3 linked regions of the Danio rerio genome follow. The protein of the gene in region 1 binds, or shares a complex with, the protein of each later gene. Links are inferred from orthologs where the notes say so. Each region holds a gene or a part of one and is shown in the gene's direction. Other genes may lie near its edges.

Region 1 (4,219 bases):
GTATTATGTTATAGTAAGTAAAAAACAAAGAGGTTCATTATACTTGTAGTAAGTATTCAGATGACCTACTTCTTTTGGTGAGATTCTGCAATGTGCTTCCAAGGGACTATTCCATAAGGCAACATGAGAGGATCTGTGAATGCCAGTGAAGTGACGTAACTGAAGATGTAGGGCACGTGACACTAAAACATGGCTAATCTTGTAGTTCTAGATTGTTCAAACAATACTATGTTCATTATGTAGGGCGTGTTTTCAAAGTATGTAGCCTACTCAAATACTCAAGAAAGTGTTTGATTTTGAATGCAGTTTGTGCATTGTAAAAAATAAATAAATGACACGTTGGCTGTTCAATTTGTCTTCTGGTGAATCAACATTGGATGAATGTGTTTATGTGCATGATAAAGTTTTTAAAATAGTTGTATTTTGTTTTATTATCACTCATTTAAGGTTTTGGACGTTTTTGTATTAAGTTCAAAGCATTGTCCTATAAATATATTCCTATTTTTCTTCATTGAAAAAAATAATAATTTGGGGGTAATTTTTTTTAATTTTGATGGTTGAATTGATAATTGTATAAGTTAAAACTATAATGGTCCCTGAGGGTATGAGTAAAGCATGCAAATTGTAAAACACTAAATTGTTTTAAGATAAATTTTAACTAATTTAAAGGCAATAACATTACTTTTATTTATTTATTTATTTATTTATTTTTTACAATTTAACATAAAAAAAAATTCACAGACATGGGCATATAATCAGAGATCTGCATTGTTTTAGTTAAGAAATTATTTCAGTTATTAGGCTAAAACCAATGGCTAAAACCCATGGAAAATGCTCATCTATAGCTGACCGACATGGTTAAAAGGCTGTTTTTTCACGTCCGTTCACCTCTGTGAAAGGCAAACACCACCATCTGTTGGACATCAAGTGAACAACGAGAATGTTTTAGTTTTTTTTTATTTGGATTACTTACGTTTTATAAAGATTGCACAGTTCATTTAAATTTATAAGAAATAACATGTAGGTGAAACTCAGACTCTTAGCATCTATTAAAGTTAAACACCGTTTAATTTTAAAAATAGCCTATACAAAGCACTCTTTGTAGATTTATCGAGATGATTAATAAATATGGTTTAAGAAGCAAATATAATATTGGCAGTACATGTTCTCAAAGACTATATGTGTGGTTAGTTGAATGTCACCTCTGTGTTTTATAAAGTGGCTATAGTAAACATTTGGCTTTTGAAGCTAAAATGGTGTACAGCGAGACTGGGCGCTGTACTAGTGCTTTAGATTGACAGACGGATCAGCCAATAGCGCTGTCGTTTCTCAGAGATTCAAACCAATCAAAGTCGACGGGCGGGTCATGTTTTAGTCTTGACAAGATGGCGTATGCGGTTGTTTTGCCGCAGGGACACTGAACAATTTATTCAGTTTATCGTGCAAATTCGTTGACGTTGCGGTAGCATTACAGTTAAAAAAGTGTTTTGTTAGGCGCGTGAAGCCAGAGGACATCTAACATGAAAGGTAAAGAGCGGTCGCCGGTGAAAAAACGTTCAAGGGCCTTGGATGATATACGAGACAGGGGAGGAAGCCATCCGACCAGTAAGAAAATGGGGGTTATCTCGAATTCTGGCGGAGGAAGCAACAACGGCAATAGTTCGTCTAAAAGCGACGGGGGCTCTGCACGACGGGGACTGCTTGGAGATAAAAGAGACGGACGGGAATTTGACGGACATGTATCCAGTCGGACTGGTAATAACCACGGTTACACGAGCCCTGTTGCGAGCTCAAGCGGCAAAAATCACGCCTCGAGTCTGTCCTTAGAGGCGGCGCGCACCAACTCGCGCGGGGAGGCGCGCGCACCGCTTCCCACAAACGAAAGTGAGTACAAAACTTTAAAAATCAGCGAGCTTGGCTCGCAGCTGAGTGACGAGGAAATCGAGGACGGCCTCTTTCATGAATTCAAAAAATTTGGTGACGTGAGCGTCAAAATCAGCCGAGTGAACGACGAGAGAATCGCATTCGTCAACTTTAGGAGACCGGATGATGCCAGGGCGGCAAAGCACGCACGAGGCCGGCTGGTGCTCTACGACCGTCCTTTAAAAATCGAGGCAGTTTACTTGAACAGGCGGAGGAGTCGCTCTCCGGTGAAGGAGGATCATTTCTCTGTTGTTGCAGGCCATAGACATTTGCATACTCAGAGGCCGCTCTCTCCAACCGGCCTGGGCTACAGGGACTACCGGTTACAGCAGTTAGCACTGGGTCGGCTTCCTCCTCCCCCACCCCCGCCTCTGCCCAGAGAGCTGGAAAGAGAAAGAGAGTTTGCCTTTTATGAAGCGAGGGCGCGGCCCGCATACATAGCAGAGCGAGCCGCTCCTTTCCGTGAGGAGGACTTTATCTCTCCAGAGGACGACCAGAGAGCCAACCGCACACTGTTTTTGGGTAACTTGGATATTACTGTGACTGAAAACGATTTGAGGAGGGCTTTTGAACGATTTGGGACAATCACTGAGGTGGACATTAAAAGACCCACTCGTGGCCAGAGCAGCACCTATGGCTTCCTTAAATTTGAGAATTTGGACATGGCTCACAGAGCTAAAATTAGCATGTCTGGGAAAGTTGTGGGCCGAAACCCCATAAAAATTGGATATGGTAAAGCCACCCCAACCACAAGACTATGGGTGGGTGGTCTTGGCCCTTGGGTGCCTCTGACTGCATTAGCCCGGGAATTTGACCGCTTTGGAACTATTAGGACTATAGACTACAGAAAAGGGGACACCTGGGCTTATATTCAGTATGAAAGCCTGGACGCTGCTCAGGCAGCCTGCACACACATGCGTGGATTTCCTCTTGGTGGTCCTGACAGGAGGCTGAGGGTGGACTTTGCTGACACAGAGCATCGCTACCAACAACAGTTCTTGCAGCCCCTCCCCCTGCAACATTATGAAATCATGGCTGAGTCTTTCGTTCATCGTGCCACCCCTGAAGCCATCAGGGTCAGAGAACGGACTCCTCCGCCACTGCACTTCAGAGAAAGAGAACTCTATGCTGGGGCTGAGTGGCCAGCACCTACTATTCGTGAACGTGTACGAACTCCTGCATTTGAGCCCCTTGAACACTTAGAGCGTGAACGACGGCGAGAGGCCTGGTCACTGGAGCGAGAGCTGCCAGGCAGAGAAGCTGCACGAAAACGGCGGCTCATGGAGGACGGCAGACATCTGGAGTGTTCGCCTGACAGCAGCAGTGAGTGGGCGGCCCGCCGTCGCAGACCCCCGTCGCTTGAGGGCAGCCCAGGCGGCAGCAGCCGAGACGGACGTTTCAGTGACTCTGAGCGTCCAGCGAGAGCAGACCGGGTGTCCCCAGCACGAGAGAGCCGCAGCAGCCTGGACCGAGTTCCCGGTGAGAAACGCATCAAAAGCAACAGCAACCTCTCTGAGTCCAGCATCGGCGCAAGCCCTGCAGAACGAAAGCGCAAAGCGGGCGATTCAGCTAAAGGTGCATCCAAGAGGGACAGATCCGAAAGCAGCTCCAAAAGCAACCAAGCTTCAAAACAGGACGCAGGGGGGAAGCTGAGCATGGCCTGGAATGGCATGCTGCTCCTCAAGAACAGTAACTTCCCAGCCAGCATGCACCTCCTGGAGGGGGACCTGAGCGTCGCCACCAGCCTTCTCATCGACGGCAGCACGGGTGGAAAAGTCTCTCAGCTGCGCATCACACAACGGCTTCGTCTAGACCAGCCCAAGATCGACGAGGTGTCTCGGCGCATCAAAGTGGCAGGCCCAGGAGGCTACGCAGTTCTACTGGCAGTTCCAGGCAGCTCTGAGGAGACTTCATCATCAGACCCAGCAGCATCCACGCAGAGGCCTCTCCGCAACCTGGTTTCATACCTGAAGCAAAAGCAGGCCGCCGGGGTCATCAGTTTGCCCGTCGGCGGCAGTAGAGATAAGGACAACACTGGCGTCCTGCACGCATTTCCACCATGTGATTTCTCTCAGCAGTTCTTAGATTCTTCTGCGAAAGCTCTTGCCAAAACAGAAGAGGACTTCCTGGTCATGATCGTTGTGCGAGGAGCATCTTAACAGTCATAATACACACTAAAGTATTGTTAAATGCAAGCTTCTCTTAATGTCTCTTAATTGCATGCTCTCTAAAGCAGAAGTGGTACTAGAGTAAAGGGCAGCTGTTGTTACCTGCTCTGCCAAACATGTACAGTAAA
Region 2 (4,240 bases), on another chromosome or scaffold:
CGAACCGACACCTCACATCCATCACGATCAACCTGTCCGTGACTGTCACCCTAACACCCGACAATTACTCTCCAGTCTGCGTGGATAAGACATGGTACCCGAGTTTTCTCATCTTGTCGTTTGGCTGTTATCAGAGCAGCAGACGCGGATCAATAAAAGAGAAACCGGGGAAGCCCGGAGCTTATGACTCATGCATATTGATGATCGTCGCCCAGTCTGGATTTCAAGTTTAAAAAGAGAACAGTTGATGGTAAAAATCAATAGTGTCCTTCATTTAATAGTGACAAGTTGCAGAACAATAGAAAAAGAATCTACGAGGCAAATAGTAATTGCTAAATAAATCATTCCACGATAGCGCCCGAGCTGCGCGCGCCGATCTTCCCACAGAGTGAACTTAAACGAGAGTCTGCCACGTTATATCAGTAATTTGGCGTCTAGTCTGGTCTGGTCATCACTGTTGGTCTCTCCGAGACAACACGGTGTACAAATTTCGGCTCAAGCTTTCAGAACTAATCACAATGACAAACAGCCAAAAGTTCACTTCTGCCCTCTTGTGTCAGTAAAATGCAACCAGAATCAATGCTTTTCATTTATGAAATTATAAACATTATTAATTATAGAATAATAGCTAATTTAAAAATATATTTTTAAAATCGGTTTCAGTTACTTTCAGTCAGCAAGGATAGATCAAAACAAATACAATATTAAAAGAAAAGAAAAAATACAATTATTCAAAGTCTAAATTTAAGGCTTTAAAATAATTAACATTGCTTTTTGTTTTAGTATTTTTTGTTTTTATATCGTACATGATCTATTTCTATTTTAAAATGAGTAAAATTAGGTTTTTTTCACAGCCCATTTACATTTACGAATAAAACAAATTCCACATATAATGAGCAAACACTATACCAAATTTTGAAGCCGGCTGTATTCTCATAATAAACATCATTTCTTTTAATTCCAATGCAATACTCGTACTCCGCAAAAAAAAAAAAGATCACACCAAAACAATAGTGTATAAATACAATCAAAATAAATGAACAATACTCTCTTCTTAATCGTTACAGAAAACACATTTTAAGTCAACACCTTTACAAAATTGTGCAATTACCTGTTTTACATGATAAAAACGATTAACAATTTTAAATATTAAGTTACCTCTCTAATTTTTCAGTTATACAAAAACGTCTGGAGATCTTAAAAGTCTGGTTCGAGTTTACGTCTTGAAATTGTGATCTCCAAAAACTAATGGCTGAAGGAACACTGACAGTCAAATCATTCAAAGATAATCATTATTACATTTTGTTTACGCTAGTTGTTTTTACTCCAAATAAAAGTAAGAGGCCGTCTACTGACGTCACCGTATGCGTCAAGCATTGTGATGATGTAAAATACATGCGACGGTTTCTCACGTTGAGGGTTTCAATGGATTTTTGCCGCACTATTGTTGTCATCTGATCATTTCACGATTAGCTATTTTCCTGCAAAACATTTTCGACATGAACAGCCGCTTGCAAGAAATACGGGAAAGGCAGAAGCTCAGACGTCAGCTTCTCGCACAACAGGTACGAATACACAACTTTATTTCTTCCTGCAGAAAGCCAGTTTTAGCAAACACTGCCATATTAACGCGGTGTTATATTACTAACGCCAATGAACGTAGAAGCATTGCGAATGTTTTATGACATTAATGATTTGTTTTACAGCTCGGAGCAGAGAGTCCCGACAGCATCGGCGCAGTTCTCAACAGTAAAGATGAACAAAAAGAGATTGAAGAGACTAGAGAGACCTGCAGGTATAAACCATTTGTTAAATTCAAGGACTATGTGCAGCACTAAAAAATAAAGAACACTAAGACCTATATACCCCAAAAGAGCTAAAACTGTACTGATAGGACAACCTTTACATTCAGCACGGGTATGTGATGCTGCTACTTGTAAGTTAGTATTAATCAGAACGATGCTGAGGTCAGTTACCATTTGGTTTGTTTACTGTAGGGCATCATTTGACATATCAGTTCCTGGTGCTAAAAGGAAGTGTCTGAATGAGGGTGAAGATCCAGAGGAAGATGTGGAAGAGCAAAAGGTGAGAGAGCGCTGATCAGGAATCGGCTGTTAATTCAGAAAAGCCCTTACATTTGATCAGGTCAGAGCTATGTGTAACTGATTTTGAATCTGCTGTATGGTGTAGGAAGATGTTGAGCCTCAACATCAGGAAGAGAGTGGACCATATGAAGAGGTGTACAAGGACTCCAGCACATTTCTAAAGGTATCTTTAAACACAATTGTATATGATTTAATTGAGCAATCGGGTATGAGAAGCTATGATATTTTTGTGAGGATACTCAGACATATATTCACAAAACGGTTACCACTATATACTGTCATTAAAGGCAAAAACATGGTAATTTTTGAAAAGTACGATCTTTAAATTCTTTCATTCCATCAGAAAAACTGTCCCTTACAGTAAACGTAAACTGCATTGGGTTTTGCAATTAAGGTATGTTTCATAGTTCTTAGAACTAATGTAGGAAATTCTCGCTTTTGACATGTTTGTAATGCAAGGACTAGGAACAGTTTTAGTTATTGGAGCTTTTTTGGGAAACAAGTGTTACATACAGTATATACATACAGAAAGCTAGAGATAGTCTCATTTACCTGTTGGCTTTTTCTGCTTTCTGCATTCTTTCCTTTGTATTCCTTTGTATTATGTATCAGTATAAGATGTCATAGGGGATTTATTTCTTCTGGTTCCTTTTTCAGTTGCATAGTTTATGTCTATGCAAAGTCACTCTAAATATTACTAAAATAACATAAGTAATGTTTTTATTATATCATTACTTGTTTCACAGGGCACTCAGAGTTTAAATCCTCACAATGATTATTGCCAGCACTTTGTGGACACAGGTCATAGACCTCAGAACTTTATCCGAGATGGAGGTAAAGTGTTTTTCTACTTTTTCTTTTTAGTTTTCCACTTTGAGAGTGTGTTAACCTGTGTGTTCTCATGTGCTGTAGGTTTGGCTGACAGGTTTGAGGAATACCCCAAACAAAGAGAGCTCATTCGACTGAAAGATGAACTCATCTCTGCCACCAACACTCCCCCCATGTAAGAAAACTTGGTCTCAGTCTATGTCATAGGGCCCATACCGGCCAGTGGTGCCCATTTGCAGTTTTTGAAACCTGAAAATTATTCACATTTGTGTATAAAACACTGGGTTTTATTTAGATTCTAGAATTTTATTTGAACGTACTAAAAACAAAAGTGATTTTGAGGTTGCTAAGCAAATAAAATCAGTTATTTTTTATAATAATTAGAAGCATTTAACTATGGGACAATTGGGTCTTTTTCAATGCTTTTATGAATGTAATAACTCTTGCGTTTGTGTGCGTTTCAGGTATCTCCAGGCAGATCCAGACACGTTTGATCTGAGAGAGTTGAAGTGCAAGTTTGATGTGATTCTGATAGAGCCTCCATTAGAGGAATATTACAGAGAGTCAGGCATCATTGCCAATGAGCGCTTTTGGAACTGGGACGATGTGAGTTACTGCAAATTCTCAAAATCAACCTCATGAGAATGTTTTTAAAATTGATTTCAATTATGTATTATAATACACATTAGAGATATACTTGACTACACTCAAAAATGAAAATTCTATCATCCCCACTTGTCCCAAAGCTGTTTGAGTTCATTTCTTCTGTTAAACACAAAAGCAGATATAGTGAGGAATGCTGGGGGAAAACAGCCGTTGACTTTCATAGTTTTTTTGTTTGTTTGTTTTAGTTGTTTTTGTTGTTCCTAATATGGATGTAAGTGGCTGCATTTTCCAACATTCTTCAGATTATCTAGTTTTATGTTCAACAGAAGAAAGACATTGATAACAATTTACAACCATTTGAGTCTGACTAAATGGTGAGAATTTTCATTTTTAGATGAACTATCCATTTAGATAACAGTTATTATATATTTTATGCTCATATAATATAATAATGTAAGATGTCCTAACATATATAATAACTTATTTTTGTATTCATGTGTGCTTTAGATCATGAAGCTGAACATAGAGGAAATCTCATCCATTCGCTCTTTTGTATTCTTGTGGTGTGGCTCAGGAGAAGGCCTTGATCTTGGCCGAATGGTACAAATCTCACAAATATACAAACTTGACATGGCAGATTTCTGTTCCATGTGCATAAACCTAAACTTATCTCAAATATGATGTACACATAATAACCTGCC
Region 3 (4,343 bases), on another chromosome or scaffold:
AGTGCTTCAATAGCAACTGTTTGACACAAATTGCAATGATTTCTGATGAAAGTATTTTTTAGGAATGTTGACGAAGATTTGGTCGAAAGGTTTGTATGGTTCGTTTAAAATAAAAGCCAACAGCACACATTTAATTATTAAATATATATTAATTTGAACATTTTAACACGTTAAGCTGTTGTTTGACAGGCTCGACGGAGGCTAATGCAATTACAAGTACACAACTCATATACAACAGCAAATATAGCCTAAGCATCTAAAGTTATTCCTTGTTAAAACTACTCTCGTAATATTACTTACGTAAACTATTGCTGTCCGCTTAAACGCTCAACCAAACAGGTAAATGTGCGCAGGTTATTAATACCGCCATTGATTATATAAACAACATTTGATATTCAGACAGCGGCATATAGTATTAGAACCGATTCAGGCTTTATCATTACCTCCGAACATATCCGACTCTGCACAGCATGCTCTAGTCCGTCACACAGTGATACAAGCGACCAACCAACAGACCTAAATTCGCCACATTACAACCTGCCCTTGAAATTTCAACTTCAACTTGGACTAGACCATACCATTTTGTCAAAATAGGGGTCTGAGAAAATTTTTTTTGTATTTTTATTGATTGCAGACTAAACTATAAAGAATATTTCCGTGTAAAAATAAATTATGAATATTTGAGAGCATAGTATATATTATATATATCTCAAGGGATCGATAGTACTACAATGTAAAGAGGGTGCAAAAACCATGCCCCCTGTCCCAGTTGGTGTAATTCAGTCAGTCATTCTAGGCCTAGGTCCAGAGTGAGACAGTAAATAAATGGTTTCGTTTTAGAACTTTTGTTGCCTGATTTATTAGGATTGTACATTTTGTTTTGCTTCACATTAAAGCAAAATGAATAGCTCAATTTCTTTCCACTTAGTAATTTTGCAAAGAGATTACAAGCAATGGGTTAAGAATTACACAGATCGTAATTCCTATGGCGAATATCTAATGTAATTAACTTGATCATGTATGTATATAGAGAGAGTAAAACGTGTTATCGTTTAGTTAGCATTAAAGCTTACATACCAGGGTTGCCAGATCAATCAAAAGAAACGTGTCAGAAAACAAACCGGATATGAGAAAGGACTTTTGGAAAACACTAAACAGGACACACAAAATATATATTTTAGTCCTTCTTTTCTTGTGCCTTTATTATTGATGTCGTGGTGGTCGGTATGTTTTGTGTGGTAATTTGTCTTTTACAACTAGCTACCTACACCTAACTAACTAACAAAGCAAAAATGAAGTCAATTAATAAATGAATGATTATATACATTAACGTTTGAATGTATGCATGTAAGTTATAAATAAGCTATGTTATCATAATTGTAATAGGTTGTTTGTTGTACTGTAAAAGATGCACTGTTGTTCAATATCAACCTGGCAACACAGTGACAGGAACGTGCTCCTCCTCCTCAGCGCTCGCGCGAACGAACACACTGATGCTGTGCGGCTGAACATCGCGCACACGCTGGTCATGGCGGACGGGCTACCTTTCGTCTAAATAAAAAACGCAACATTTTCCCTATCCCGAGAACTATATTAATAAAAATAACTCTTTCGTATCTCACATTGGAAGACATACGTGTCATTCTGGTCGAGGCGAACCGGCTCTGGTAAGTGGTAGGGATTTAATACGGCTATTTCAGATAAAGTGCTGCTTCTCGGAGAGGGAGAGTCTCTTCCTTCTCCGCCATTTTGTGACAGCGAAAATGCTCCAAGAAGGCGCCGGTACATTTTTATTCCTGTGCGTCTGCAGTCATTTATTGTCTATGTTTTAAGACGAATCTGCATTATCGGCTACGTAAGTTCTTCATGTCTTCCCCGGGAGTAACGAGCACCGTTCCTGAGACTATGAGAATGGCGCGCGGTTGTTTGCGGCGCAGAGCGTTTACCAAGTCAAATCGTTAATTGACGAACTCAATTCGCCTGAATTACGAAACTAACCTTCTTGTTTGGCTATATGAAATAATATTTAAGGGCTACAGTTTGCATTTTTCGATTATAATACGTTAAATGTGCAATTCAAGATGCATATAACGTTTTAGCAGTAAGTTAAGGTTAGGTCAAAATGTTAAGTGATATTTTTTCACATTTTCGCAGTTTAGTTTGTTTCCACATGTTTGCTGCATTTAATTATCAGAAAGTGAATAATTGGCCTTAACTAAGCAAATTCCTCCACAATATCTGTTGTAATTGAGAAACAACAACCTCTCCCTCGCCTGGTGGCCTATATTCGTTATAGCACACGTGTAGGCGTGTGAAATCCATGCAACTGTCTCTAAATCTTTTCTGCATATTGTTGCTTGAAATTGCGTGTGTAGGTTTGATTCATTGATTTATTTGAACTTACTAAGTGTTTGGTTTGTATGCTTCTGTCTTGCAGAGATCAGAATGACCAATGAAGAACCTCTCCCGAAGAAGGTGAGCTCTTTGTCCCAGTCTAATCTGATTATATGATTCTTTCTCCTGAACAAGGTCTCTTTATGAGTCTTTATTTTCTTTTTATGTACTTGCAGGTTCGCCTTAGTGAATCTGACATGAAGACGCTGACTCGAGAGGAGCTCTGTACCAGGTATGTAACCATTCTCTCTCCCGCAAAAACAAAGTATGCAAGTTGAAAGATTCTTGATTGTAATGCTGGTATGTTTTCTTTCCGGGTGTAGGTGGAAACAGCATGAAACTTACGTCCAGATGCTTGAGGCGAAATATGCTGATTTAAACTGTAAGTATGCACATCTTAAATGTTCTGAATAATTCATAGTCTTGAGTGCTTTACTCAAGCACAGAGTGTTCAGTCTTTGTGTTAAAGTAATGTTATTGCATAAAATGAATTGTTGGTAACTAATGCATTTGTTTCATGTTGAAATGTCTGCAGCCAATGACGTGACAGGCCTGAAAGAGTCTGAGGAGAAGTTGAAGCAGCAACAGCAGGAATCTGCACGCAGAGAGAACATTCTGGTGATGAGGCTTGCTACAAAAGAGCAGGAAATGCAAGAGTGTACAGTAAGTTTTTTTTTCTTTTTTTTCTTAATCACTACTACATCTGTTTACTTCTGCTTTATGATCAAGTCTATTCTTGGAAATATGTCAGTTTGTTTGAGTAGTACTGAGTGTCTGAGTTTTGTAGGTGCTGCCTAAGTTGCACACTTCCCTACTATAAGTAGGTGCAAATAGTAAGTTATTCAAAATGAGTATCCACTCAAGAAGAGTGCATGTGATTTGAGATGCTGCTTCTGCTCATGGGTCCCCACCATGATGATTTCTTTTTGTTTACATATAGCAGATGCATTTCTTTTTCTAATGATCTGTGAGACATCAAAAAACATTGCAAATGTAATAGCTGCTATGATCTAGTCAAATGTGTTTTCAAATGTCGGCCATGCAAATTCTAGCTGTAATTTATCATGCTGTACTGAAGCGGATATGAGCATAAATTTTCCAACATTTCAACATGCTGGCATAAAGCAAAACAAATGCAAGTGGTGGCGGATGCAGGCTTGTGCATGTCTACAGTGTTCCACCTTTTACTGCAACTTTCACATTCAGGCACAAACTTTATTTGTAGCAGGTACAAATGACATTACGAATAGGGTTTGGAGTTTCAACTAGACTAGTTTTCATTGCGGTGATTGTTTAATATTGGGACATCAAAGCACTTCAGTTATACAAGCTACTCATTAACTAGACAATGAGCTTGGTATTAAACAGTTGTTTCAAAAATTAAAACTTTAACTGTATACTAGTTTCAAAGCTGAAGTTTTTTATTTATATAAACAGGGTTCATACCATCATAGAAAACCTAGAAAAGTCATGGAATTTTGACATGGTGTTTTCCAGGCCTGCTAAAGTTTTGGAAAAACAAAAGCCACAAAGTTTTGGAAAAGTCATGGAAATTGGATATCTGTATACTTGAATAAAGGTTTTTTACTTTTCTTCCTTGGCCAATCATATACTCTCAAATTATTAGTGCGGTGTAAGCATTATCTAAATCAAATTTACATAGATATAAATTGAAACTAAATGGATTGTTGCGTATTTTATGATATGCTGTAATAAATTTGAACTTGCATTGTTTTTCTTTTACCTCATATATGTAGATAATGCATGAAACATTAGGCCATAAATATTTACTTGTAAGTCTTAGAAAAATCATGGAATTTTATTAGCAAAAATATGTATGAGCCTTTTATATACGTACTTGCATACTCCATTGACTTTTAATTTTTAGTTTGAAATGCTGAGATTCTAATGGTCTCTTACCTTGCAGACCCAAATCCAGTACCTGAAGC

What was found.
Region 2: rbm15 (region 1) and mettl14 share a complex: the UniProt entries of both Homo sapiens proteins name them as parts of the WMM complex. The link is inferred for Danio rerio from reciprocal best matches to the Homo sapiens genes RBM15 and METTL14.
Region 3: rbm15 (region 1) and wtap share a complex: the UniProt entries of both Homo sapiens proteins name them as parts of the WMM complex. The link is inferred for Danio rerio from reciprocal best matches to the Homo sapiens genes RBM15 and WTAP.

What each region holds. Positions count from the first base shown.
Region 1 is NC_133183.1:26,684,682-26,688,900, reverse strand, and holds the start of rbm15 (RNA-binding protein 15), read left to right. Parts: upstream 1-1,373; 5' UTR 1,374-1,520; coding exon 1,521-4,082; 3' UTR 4,083-4,219. UniProt on the Homo sapiens protein: RNA-binding protein that acts as a key regulator of N6-methyladenosine (m6A) methylation of RNAs, thereby regulating different processes, such as hematopoietic cell homeostasis, alternative splicing of mRNAs and X chromosome inactivation mediated by Xist RNA.
Region 2 is NC_133176.1:21,570,388-21,574,627, reverse strand, and holds the start of mettl14 (N(6)-adenosine-methyltransferase non-catalytic subunit METTL14), read left to right. Parts: upstream 1-1,407; 5' UTR 1,408-1,499; coding exon 1,500-1,565; intron 1,566-1,706; coding exon 1,707-1,795; intron 1,796-1,997; coding exon 1,998-2,085; intron 2,086-2,190; coding exon 2,191-2,268; intron 2,269-2,851; coding exon 2,852-2,939; intron 2,940-3,017; coding exon 3,018-3,108; intron 3,109-3,397; coding exon 3,398-3,539; intron 3,540-4,046; coding exon 4,047-4,139; intron 4,140-4,240. Other genes in the region: prss12 (neurotrypsin), read right to left, coding at 1-22. UniProt on the Homo sapiens protein: The METTL3-METTL14 heterodimer forms a N6-methyltransferase complex that methylates adenosine residues at the N(6) position of some mRNAs and regulates the circadian clock, differentiation of embryonic stem cells and cortical neurogenesis.
Region 3 is NC_133195.1:33,721,959-33,726,301, reverse strand, and holds the start of wtap (pre-mRNA-splicing regulator WTAP), read left to right. Parts: upstream 1-1,510; 5' UTR 1,511-1,667; exon of another isoform or gene 1,668-1,855; intron 1,856-2,437; 5' UTR 2,438-2,445; coding exon 2,446-2,475; intron 2,476-2,570; coding exon 2,571-2,626; intron 2,627-2,717; coding exon 2,718-2,776; intron 2,777-2,929; coding exon 2,930-3,057; intron 3,058-4,321; coding exon 4,322-4,343. Other genes in the region: sod2 (superoxide dismutase [Mn], mitochondrial), read right to left, coding at 444-472. UniProt on the Homo sapiens protein: Associated component of the WMM complex, a complex that mediates N6-methyladenosine (m6A) methylation of RNAs, a modification that plays a role in the efficiency of mRNA splicing and RNA processing.